Linked DNA regions of Caenorhabditis elegans. The protein of the gene in region 1 purifies or fractionates together with the protein of each later gene. This does not show direct contact. Each region holds a gene or a part of one and is shown on either strand. Other genes may lie near its edges.

Evidence for each region.
Region 2: the proteins of R05A10.1 (region 1) and B0395.3 fractionate together in Caenorhabditis elegans (co-fractionation; one large-scale study listed by BioGRID). This does not show direct contact.

Annotation. Positions count from the first base shown.
Region 1 is NC_003282.8:14,180,459-14,185,523, reverse strand, and holds the start of R05A10.1 (Abnormal cell migration protein 18-like fibronectin type I domain-containing protein), read right to left. Parts: upstream 3,148-5,065; 5' UTR 3,146-3,147; coding exon 3,002-3,145; intron 2,873-3,001; exon of another isoform or gene 2,852-2,872; intron 2,806-2,851; coding exon 2,596-2,805; intron 2,512-2,595; exon of another isoform or gene 2,488-2,511; intron 2,341-2,487; exon of another isoform or gene 2,314-2,340; intron 1,958-2,313; exon of another isoform or gene 1,936-1,957; intron 1,694-1,935; exon of another isoform or gene 1,673-1,693; intron 1,651-1,672; coding exon 1,552-1,650; intron 1,443-1,551; exon of another isoform or gene 1,422-1,442; intron 1,270-1,421; coding exon 1,089-1,269; intron 1,061-1,088; exon of another isoform or gene 1,040-1,060; intron 670-1,039; coding exon of another isoform or gene 549-669; intron 1-548.
Region 2 is NC_003284.9:16,034,327-16,041,219, reverse strand, and holds B0395.3 (Choline/carnitine acyltransferase domain-containing protein), read left to right. Parts: upstream 1-1,988; 5' UTR 1,989-1,994; coding exon 1,995-2,055; intron 2,056-2,104; coding exon 2,105-2,208; intron 2,209-2,255; coding exon 2,256-2,336; intron 2,337-2,866; coding exon 2,867-3,039; intron 3,040-3,093; coding exon 3,094-3,259; intron 3,260-3,562; coding exon 3,563-3,734; intron 3,735-3,842; coding exon 3,843-4,024; intron 4,025-4,317; coding exon 4,318-4,418; intron 4,419-5,083; coding exon 5,084-5,340; intron 5,341-5,391; coding exon 5,392-5,492; intron 5,493-5,549; coding exon 5,550-5,996; 3' UTR 5,997-6,184; downstream 6,185-6,893. Other genes in the region: mboa-1 (O-acyltransferase), read right to left, coding at 6,543-6,673.

The DNA.
Region 1 (5,065 bases):
TTTTCAAAATAATATTTAATGGAGTACTCTGGTAGTGTACTGTTTGTTTTTTTATATCATGGAAATTACTGAAAACGTGCAAAAAAAATTGTAAGTATGTTAAAGGGGGAGTACAGTTTGTGGGTATTTTGCTTAAATAGACTAAAACTGGTCCAAAACCACAGAATTTCATAATGAGACTTCACAAAAAATTTCCAAAAATTTTTTATGGCCGGTCAAATTTTCGAAAAAAAAAAGAGCCAAATTTTGCTAAAATCTAAAATTTCGCGCACTTTTCTTTGTCACAGCTGCTGGATTTTTGTTTTTCTGAAATTTTCACTGAGATTTTAGCAAAATTTGGCTCTTTTTTTTTTTCGAAAATTTGACCGGCAATTTGTGAAAATTTTTTGCGAAGTCTCATTATGAAATTCGGTGGTTTTGGACCAGTTTTAGTCTCTTTAAACATCTTTATGTTTCATCGGATAATTATGAAAATATGGTTTTTGACAAAAAAAAACCAAAGCCAAAAATGCAGGAAAAAACGACATAATGCCGTCATAATGTCGGCATTATGCCGTTATGCCGGTCATTTTATTTTTCGGCATAACGTCATTTTCGGCATATGCCGTGAATTTTCAAATCAGCATAACGGCATATGCCGTGCTCCAAAAACCGGCATTATGCCGGCATCGGCATATGCCGAATGCCGAATGCCACACAGGTCTGATTGCCACGTTCTAAAAACGAATTTAAACTGCAAAGTGTAGTCATACTTATTTCCAAAACATAACGAAAAGTAAACATAGATAATTTTAAGAAAAGTTCAAAATTCTCAGTTGTAAGTGTTCCTTGTTTATAAAAGAAAAAAAATTCCCACTAGATATTTTCGGAAATATCAGTTTTGAAAAAAAAATGGTTCGACATGCAGAAATTGCTGCTCTCCACTATTTTAAATTGACATAAAAATGAAGAATTTGATAAGCAAAACCAATTTTGAAAAAAAAACAGTAACTACTGTTTCAAATAGTTTATAAATCTGGAAAAGTTTACGAAAACTCAATTGTTCTCTTTGTCGAGTTTTCATTGAAAATTATTTTAAAAAAACAAACCCCCAATGACACTTCCAACTCCCGCCCCCTTGAATCCACCTCTTTTTGCTCTGAGTTGTGTTGGATTGAACATCAGAATATGAGTAACAACTGATGCATTTGTTCCAGTTATTGGCTTTTTTCCACCATCAACCAATGACCATCCCTTTGGCAAGTCCACACCATCAACATTGGTTTTTCCCTGAACAATATAACTTATGGAATTTTAGACATTTTAAGAAAGTCTAATTCATTTGGAAGCTTTATTTGAAATATGTGACTTTATGAAATATTTTGCCAAGTTTATCATGTTTCACTATGTTTTTTTAATTATAGAAAATGAACCGATACTAATCTCATGACGGTTTCCATTTTGTATTTTTCGTTTTTTAAATCGCATTTCCAAAAATATTAAATTTCACAAAATAAAATATTTTTTGCTGAAAAAAAGCTATTTCCCAATTCCAATATTCTCAAAACCTACCGGAACTTCATTTTTCTCTCCGTGTTTCTTCATTGCTGCTTCAAATCCTTTTGGCAATGGAACTTTGTCACATTCTGGCATTCCCATCACTCCACATGTCTGAAGGTAATACTTTTTTTTAACAAAGCCACGCCATGCACCAATGATGCTATTCATGAAACTGTTGTGATATTGAGAACTTGAAACAGTAAAAAAAATTTCAAGGCATACCGTTTAACATACATTGAAATATGAATATTTTTTCGATAAAGCTTCGATTTCTCAAAATTTATGATATTTAAAAGGACGAGTTGAAGAAATATTTAACAAAAAAATAATTTGTATCGAAAAAAATTTCCGCTGTTTTGACATGTTGATAATTGTTGAACGAAAAGATATTAAACATTTCCAACTGACACATTTTTATGTAATAAAAACCACAGAAAAAAACACATTAACTAATTTATTATCTCAAAATAGTGGTTTTTGTAGTTTTTTTAATATTCGTAACCCTGAAAAATTAGTTGATGCTCCAACACGTTGATGCTTTTTACGGTAAAGTTACAGCAATTTCTTTGCGAAAATTGTTTTAAACGCTTCTATGTTGGCTCAACAAGAATTATTTTAGAAAAAATTGCCATATTAAACCTGTAAAAATTATTGACCGTTGTGTTTTAAAAACTTCAACTTATCAAAATTTACTTCTACAGTAAAATCCGAGAAACGTAAAATTTTTACTGTTACAAGATTACAGTAAATGGTATTGAAGTATTATGGAACTAGTTTAGGACCGTTTGTGATGATTCTGGAGTATAAAAAATTGAAAGTCTATATTTTTATGGGTTTGTCTGAAACTGCGTAAAAATGTGACGGCCAATCTATCTTCACATAAATTTTTATATTTTGGCTTTCAGTTTCAGATAAATAACATAAGTGCTTTGAAACATAGTTAAAAATTATTTTAAAAATTGAGAGTTTAACATCAGAGGTCTAAATATTTGAAGAATTGGATGAAACCCTCCAAAACTCTTGCAATAAACCATTTTCTAATCCCCAAAAACTCACAGTTTCCTTATAAAAAACCGATGAACCCATTCCAAGGCACTGATGCTTCACGTTGTCCACTACCGCAGATTCCCCCAATTTCATTGTAGTTCCATCTTTTCTCTTGCATCCTTCAATTGTGTAAACGCCGTATTTTTGGCATTTGTATCGAAGATTTCCAATTTCAAATTCCTCGTTAGGTTGGTATTTTTTGCCGTTTTTGGAGCATTCCTAAAACTGGGAAATTTCGGACGAATTTTACAAAAATATACATTGATTAATCATAAAATTTAAATGAATGAGACAAAAGTTATGTCTTGAGTATTTCTGAACTAATAGAAACAGTTAATATTTTTTTCTCATTTTACTTTTTTTTTTCTTCGAAAATTCTATCCAATTTCTACACACATTCCCCCGTTGACCATACCTTTGGTAACATTTCCAATGCAGACATTACACCGGCCGAGTTGTTCATTTGGAACTCGTGTAGCTGTGACGTCATGGTTTTTGTAGTGTCCAGTGAGGAGACCAAAGACACCGCAGAAACAAGAATCAGGGAGTGGAGAATCATTACTGGAATTTTGTAAGGATTTGAACTTGATTTTTAAAAATGTTTTACTAGTTGATCAAAGAATTTTGGGAATTTGATAATTTTCACACTATAATGAAACATGAAAGTTTTCCAAACAAATTTGATAGCTATAAGAAGTTGAAAAGTTTATAGTTATCTTGTAAAGGGAAATTGTGGATATTAAGAGGAAAATAAAAGGTATTGGTTTTGTAATTTAAAACTTGTTAAAACAGTAAAATTTTCGTTATATTATATTCAATTTTTGATAGGATAAATTTACTGTTTCACTATCTCCATTTCAAAAATGAATTAAAAATTTTTTCTAATGAGCGCATTTGTATACACTGTGAGAAAAAAAACATATAAAATTTTATAAATAGTATTTTTTTGGTCCAAAAACGGGGTGTGGTAGTAGTAACACGTTTTCATTTTGTTTTGAATTTTTTTCGATATCATTGACCACACCTGCCCTCATCAATCAAGTTGTATTCCAACCTTGAGATGGTAAATGTTGACAGAATTCACAGTAGGTGGTAAGTTGGTAAAAGGTTAAAACTGAAACTTTAACGGTGTTTTTTTGATGATGGGAAGTTTGAAAAAATATGAAATGGATGAACAAGAATTTCAAAATTGGAAAAATTGATATTAGAGTGCTTTGAAAACCCGTTAAAATTATTAAAATTTGAGAGACTTTTTTTTGGAAATTCCGAGAGAACACAAAAAATACGGTTTCCTAGTTTGTTTTTTTGAAATAATGTGTTGTAATTTATGTTTATGTTAGATTGTTTTTTCGGTTGGTTTCAAAAAGAAATTTATAAAAATACAGTTTATTGGTGTTAGCAGAGACAGTTATAAATTTTATTGTTTATGTTTTTGAAGGCACACAAAAATTTGCAGTAGTAATTTTTATAAAGTTTTTCATTCAAAAAAAAATGTTCACAAAAATTTACCGAGGACTATTTCAATATTGAAATTTTAGAATCTTGGAAAATATTCATACACTGCAGCCGATTCAAAACAGGAATGAAAAGTTTCTACACCCCATTTTTTTCTAAACATACTAAAACAGTGGATAATTTTGTTAATCAGATTCAGGGCTACAAGCCAGACTAGAGTCCGATTTGTCTTGTAAAACGGATTCCAGATATCCGGCGTCCGTTATTCTAATAAAAATCGTACTTTATAACAATTTGAATTAAATTAAAATCATAATTTTTTAACTGATATTTTGAGATTTGTAAGCAATGATCACTCGAAAATTGAAACTACCTTACAGTATCAGTTTCTCAAAATGTTATAAAATAAAAATGATCACTTCTGATGTAGAAGGAAAGCAGAAACAGAAAGGTAGACAAAATATGTAAAATAAATTCTTTTTCATATTATTTATTGCAATCGAGCCGGGAGGGATTTTGTGTGAAATTCAGGAAACAAGCAAAATTTAAAAAAAAGTTACCGTTTCAAAATGTTAAAAAAAAACAATGATCACTGGTAATGAGATATTAATTTTATTCATCATGTAACTAGATTTTTTTGTACTGGAAATACTCGTTTCTCACGTTTTCCTCGAAGAAAAACTTGCTTCATAAAATCTCTAAAATATTTGAAAATCTAAAATTATTTTTCTCACAAAGCCGTTGTCAGTAAAGACTAGTAAAAAGCATTATTCTTGTAAACTTACTGAAACAGTGGATGTTTTGTTAAATATGTTCAGAAGTACAAATCAGTCTGTGACTATTTCGTCTGGTAAAACAGAATCCGGGTATGTAGAAACTCTAAAATAGAAACCGATGTTAATAATGTGATTATTTTTGTTGAATAAACACATGGATTCTATGCTTTGAGATAAAATGCTTCCTGTCCTTTCATAAATAGAAATCGAACCAGGACATGCAACTTAAAAACTACAGTTTCAAAGTG
Region 2 (6,893 bases), on another chromosome or scaffold:
TGTAGAAGTTTGGCAAGAGCTGGGTGAAATTTGGGTTAAATTTTGATGTCACCTAAATCCAAGTTTTGCCAAAAAGTCTTGCCCAACTTTTGCCCAAGTTTAGTTTTTTATATAAGTTATAGCCGAATTCCTAAAAAAAACTATTAGAAAAGTGTTTAAAAAAAGAAAAAAAGTTGCAATTGATAGATTTCCAAATTTTCGGGGATCCAAGTTGCTTTCAAAAAGTATTCAATTTAAAAAAAAAATACTCCAAAGACAAAATGTTGCTAAAATTTTTTATTTGGAATAAAAACAATGATGGGGAAACATTCGAATAACATTATATTTCCGCTAATTATGAATTTGAGAAGCAAATTGCAAATATTTATGCTTAGGCGATTTTTTTAAAATTTGTTTCATCAGAAATTGAAAAAAAAAGTTTTAATAATGAAACTCCATTAGTTTTCTGAAATAATATTAAAACGTTTGGTTCAACTTGTAATTTCCATAAGTTGTGTCTTAAAAAATGTCAAACAGAAAAATTAACACTTTCACTACACAATCCAATTACTGGCTGCCATCCAAATCCAATGACCTCTTCTCATTAACTCACACCATTTGGCTACACATCGTTGTTTTCTTCCTCCATTTCTCGGCCTCTTTGTGGATACCACGCGGGGTTTTTGTGTGGTAGGAGAGAACTTAACTTGCCTCCATTTCCTCCCCCCCCCCCCCCCACTCTTTGGACACAACACAACTACTCGGTTTCTTCTGTTTTCGCTGCCTGTGTTTTCTGCGTTCCGCCTGGTCTTTCTGTTTGTGCCCCCTACATCACCACACACACACACACACACACACACTCCTCTCTTCCCATATGACCCCTGCCATTCACCCGCCGTCACTCGTTTTCTAAACACTTTGATCTTACGCCCCAAACATTTGGAACACTTTTACACTCTGAAAATCAACAAATTATTTTTTTTGTTTTGTTACTTTTTAAAAATGTTTTTTAAGTTTTAAATTTTCCAAAGAAAAATAAAGATATAGTATAGATATTTTTGAAAACTACTCACATAGTGCTAAAAATGACCGAATAAAAAAAATAAAACTTTTCAAAAAAAATTTTGAAATTTTTTTATTTACTGTCAAAAAGTGACAATTACTCAGTTTTGCCACTCATAATTTTAAAAGTCGACCAAAAAAAATGTTTTCTTATATTTTTTTTACTTTAATTTTGTTTTAATTGATCGTATTAAAACATTGTAAGGGTTGGAACATATGACATTGCTCATATTTTTTAAAGTTTTGGCAATTTGAAATTATGAAAAATTTTAAATTTTTAAATTTTTTTGAGTGTTCTATTATGATATTCGGTTGTTTTTGACAAGTGTATGTAGATCAAATCCCCACAGGCGCTATTCTTTAACTAAAATTTAGTTCCAAAATATTAAAAAAAAATTATTTAAATTTAAACATGTGAGAAAATGCAAAAAGTTGTTATAAAATTGCCAGATGCCAAAAAAAAAACGAATTTTTTTGTGAGACTTCATTTATTTTTTGAAAATTTTTCAAAACAATTTTCAATTAACATACAACAAATTTTTTTGGTTAACAGATCACTCTTCTATTATTTACGCTAAATTAAAAAAAAATTGCATTGAACCAACATGGTGCATTCCCTTTTACATTCTCTTTCTTTCATACAAGCTTACATTATATTCATCAATTTGAGTAACAAAACCCGTCGAAAAAATGCTGAAATGTCAAACAATGATTCGACCACAGATCTCCGTGAGTTTCTCCCCAAAAATATTAAATGCTGACCAAAATGACCATATAAAATTTGGACTACGGCGTAGTGTAGTCTGAATGATCATTGATAACATTCCCCCACCCGGGTCTTCCCCCACAAAACGTCTTTCACTTATCACTATAGTAACTTTTCGCAGCGTTTTGTGAGGGATTACCTGTTCCCTCAAAATTTTGAGCATTCAAAATTCATTTTGCAGCAACTAATGAAGCACAGTGTCAACGCAATGGCCGGAGGTCACGGTGCAGCCCGTTATAATTCAACAGGTGAGACTAAACCTTTTTTTCGATTGTAAATACATTGATGACGTTTCAGACCTACCAAAACTCCCGGCTCCACAACCAATTAAAACGCTGAAACACTTCCTGGACTTTGCACAAGCGTTGCAGTCAAAAAAGGAATTTCAAGAGACAAAACAGGTAAAAATAAAAAAAAACATTTGGAGCAAAACAAATGTCAATTTCAGATTGTAAATGATTTTGTGGTTAAGGATTTGCCGAAATTGCAAGAACTGCTGCAGAAACGAGCCGACGCACTTCCGAATTGGGTAAGATTTTTAACACTTTTTTCTAAAAAAAATAATTAGAAAAATAAATTCAAAACAACTTCCCCATTTATGATTAGGAGTAGTTAATTTTCAGTTTGGACCAAAAAAATAGAAATGTATCAATTAACTTTATAGGTTTAGCTTTACTGCAAACCAATGACACCTTTAAGTGTACCCTAAACCTAATTTTAAAAAGTTTGATACTAGAAAACTTTACAATATTTTGAAAATATTTAACGGCATAAGTAATACCTATCAGGTATTAGGCATAATGTTGGGCGTTTATATTAAATAATTTTTTCTTTGCAAAACAAACAATTTCTTGGAAATTGGTCCACAAAATAATCCGCCAGCCTATAAATTGAAAACATCAAAATGAAATCAAAATGTTGCTGAAAAAGTGACAGGGCCAGCGCCATAAAAATAGATTTCCAAATTTAACACATGGTTTTATAATATATCTAAAAACTAACTATCTTAAAATTGAGCAAGTTGGCGTTTTTTTACCGATTCAAACAAAAGATTTTCAGCTCACACCATGGTGGCTCAACATCGCCTACCTAGCTGCTCGTACCCCACTTCCAGTCGTCACATCTCCAGGAGTCATGTTCCCTAAATTTGACTATAACACCGAGGAGGGACAACTGGAATATGCAGCAAAAATCAGCCAAGCCGCTGTCCACTTTTACCTTCGAGCAAAAAAGTAGGCTTCTGGTTCAATTCGATGTTTTTTAGTTTTCAAAAAACATTTTTTCAGTAATCAGTTGAAGCCTGATATGGCAGGAAAGTCGCCGCTTGATATGAGCCAGTACCAGTTCTTGTTTGGAACAACTAGGGTACCTAAGGTTGGCGTAGATGAGATTAGATATGGATGTGACTATAAGGAGAAATTGCAACACATTTTAGTGATTAGAAATGGACATGTGAGTTTTTAAAAAATGTTATTTAAAAATTGTATCACTGATTCTTTATAAAGACTAATGAGGTTATTCAATTAATGTTGCAAAATGTATTTAAATACATTTATTACGTCACAACTGTATTAAAATACAAGTTTTCAAAAAATGTATTTTAATATAGTTTGCACCTAATTTTTCTACACTTTTTAATTTTTCGACACTTCTTGAATAACCCCATAAGACTTCAGTTGTTCCATCTAATTGAAGTTGAAAAAAATATTGCAAACAGATTTCAACAAAACCGTTAAAATCTCCCTACATTTTCAGCTCTTCCGCGTCCAAGTCCTAGACTCCAACGAGCAGCCACTCTCAATTTTTGCTATTACTCAGCAACTGGCAAAAGTCGTTTCAGAGAGTCAAACTCCAAACCCACATCCAGTGGGAATTGTCTCCTCCGATAGTCGCGACAAATGGGCAAATGTATACTCATCGCTGAAAAGTGAGCTTTCGAGAAAAAAAGTTTCAAGCCAAATGTAGAAGTTTTGCTTAGCTCCATTGTGAAGATTTTCTTTGAAGCTAGCTATGCTGATAATAATACTATTTTCAGAGGATAACAACAACGCGAAATCCCTGGAAGCCGTCGAAAAATCGTTGTTCGTAGTCTGTCTTGACAAAGCTAGTGAACCACCAGTTGGCTACACGGAGAAAGATGAGCAAAGTAGGCAGGCACTGCATGGTGGCGGCTCCAAAGTGAACTCGAGCAACAGATGGTTTGACAAGACTATTCAGGTGTGTTATTTAGTTTATCCACGGCGTGTCAGGCTGTCCCATTACGGTTTGATCTACAAAAAATGCGGGAATTTTTTGCCCATAAAAATTATACGTCAACACGTTCTTAACCAGACGAAATCAGTTGAGAACTCTGCGTCTCTTCTCCCGCATTTTTTGTAGATCTTTGTAGATCAAGCCGACATGAGACACTCTTACACCACGTGTTTATCGTTCATGCACTCATTTTTTTGCATTTGATCAGTAGAGCACATTTGCATTGCAATAGCAAAAAATATACCTGGAAATTTCAGTTTGTCATCGGAACAAATGGCTACACCGGAATGACGTATGAGCACACTCCAGCCGAAGGACCACCAGTCGGTGCACTCATGGATTTTATTTGTGATCAATTGTGAGTTTTTGAAATTTATAACTGATTACAAAAAAATTTGTTGAAAAACTTGAATTTGAACAGAAATTTAAAATGTTGTCTTTTTCGTTTTATCGTTGGGTCAAAAACCGGAACTGTGGCACTTTAGGTGGAGTAGCGCCAGTGGGGAACTTGTGAAAAACTACTCCTACACATGGTGCCAAAATGACCGAATATCATAATAAATCCTTTCAAAAGTTTTTTAAAATTTTTTTATTTACTGTCAAACAGTGACAGTTACTCAGTTTTTCCACATATAATTTTGGAAGTCGACCAAAAAAAAAATTTTTCCTACATTTTTTTATACTGTAGTTCTGTTTAAATAATTTGTCTTAAAACATTGCATGTGTCGTTTTTCAAAATATTGGCAGTTTGCCAAAACTTCGGCCGGAAATTATGAAAAATCGAAAAATGTTTGGAGTGTTTTATTATGATATTCTGTCGTGTTGGATCATAATAAGTGTATTCAGACCAAATTCCCACTGGCGCTACTCCACCTTTAACCATAGCAATATAAATATTTCTGATCCTACGCTTCATCAAACAAGTTTATTTAAAATGTTGCAAAAAGTATTCTGGTAGCTTGGATATCTTCAGTTAGTAACATTTAAGATAATATATCTATTATATTTCCTTCAATTTTTCAGTGATGCTAACACATTCATTACTGAAGGCACACCTTCCAACTCCCCAGTGCAACGTCTCGATATTTCCACTGACGAGGAAATCAACAAAAGAATCGCCAAGAGCTCCAAGAACATGGACAGCATCGCCGAGGACCTTGATATCGTCGCGTTCACGTTCAAGCCCTACGGAAAGAATTTCCCGAAATCCTCAAAGATCTCGCCCGACTCGTTCATCCAAATGGCTTACCAATTAGCTTTCTACCGGATCCACTCATCGCGTAAGTCAATTATCCCCCATCTTACAATTTGATGACGAATTAAATTTCCAGTTCCACCAACCTACGAGACGGCCACTTTGCGTAAATTCACCGAGGGTCGAACCGAGAACATCCGATCTCCGAATACAGCTGCAGCATCATTTGTCAAGAAGGTGTGTGTTTGTGTGTGACCTAGATCGATCACCCAATTTAACTCACTCAATTTTCAGATGGTATCTAAGCCTCCTACGCCGGTTAGTGAAATCTACGATGCACTTGTTCACGCAACAAATTCGCATAAAAAGTACACCATGGATTGTATGGATGCAGCTGGAATGGACAGACATTTATTGGCATGGAAGTTGATCGCTACTGAAAATAATCTCCCAACCCCAGAAATCTTCGGTTCCAACATCTACCAACAACTCAACCATTTCCAAGTCTCCACAAGTCAAGTTCCCACACGGCATTTCATCCAAATGTGCTTCGGACCATCTGCCCTTGATTGCTATGGAATTTGCTACAACCCACAGGAAACTGAACTTCACTTTATGATCTCAACATTCAAGAGCTACGGCTCGACGAGTTCCAAGAAGTTTGCCAAGGAACTTCAAAAGGCGCTAATTGACATGAAATCGGTTATTAATAAGGCTACAAAAGAAATGTCCAAGTTGTAGGAGATCATATTTTGATACTACTTTTTTTTAAAGAATAACATTTCACACGCCATAACTAGTGCTCCTACGTGTTCAGATCCCAATGTTTTTTTTTCTGCTTTATTGTAATTGATTGAAAATGCTTGTAGATATTTTATGAAAACATTTTATATGAATAAATAATTTGTATAATAAATACGTTTCCGTCAGAGGTGTATCACAAATATCCACGATAAATCTACAAAACATCTAATATTGGGGTGATAGCCAAGAAATAGAGAAAAAATGTGATTGATTTCAGAATTGTTTTGCTAAAATCGATAGTTTAAAATATGCTATTCCTGCCATAAAAATTGTGTGCATTTATCTAGCAGACCGATCAAAAGATTTTTGGTACAAATAAGCATATTTTACAATGAACCAACTTCTATCAAGTAACTAATATTTATTTTTTCTGTAAAAACTAGTGACAAAACTTTTGTACAGTTTAAAAAATAATTCTCAAATAAAATCAACAAAATACAAAAAAAAAAAACGAATACCCCGTGTGACAAATAATTAGAGATTTCATGAAGTTGGTGGGTGACAATTCCAATGTCTCGGGAACAAAAGGTCCACAACGGCATTGGAGTACGGGGCACAGTGTCCACGTCTCGCGTACCATTCTTGGCCGTAGAAAGCAATGAACATTCCGGTTCCTGAAAGATGGTTGTATTTTAGTGGTTTTAACATGTTCTAAAGCAATGTTCTTTTAGATTGAACACTTGATTTTTTAGAAAATTCGAAAATGTGGGTGGTATTATGTAAATGGTTGGAAAACTCAGACAACTAGATATAACATTTTTCATAGGAACTTCTTGCGGGAGCTACTTTCTTAAAGATGGTGTAGTCGAATTTTTTCCATTTCTTTATTAGACT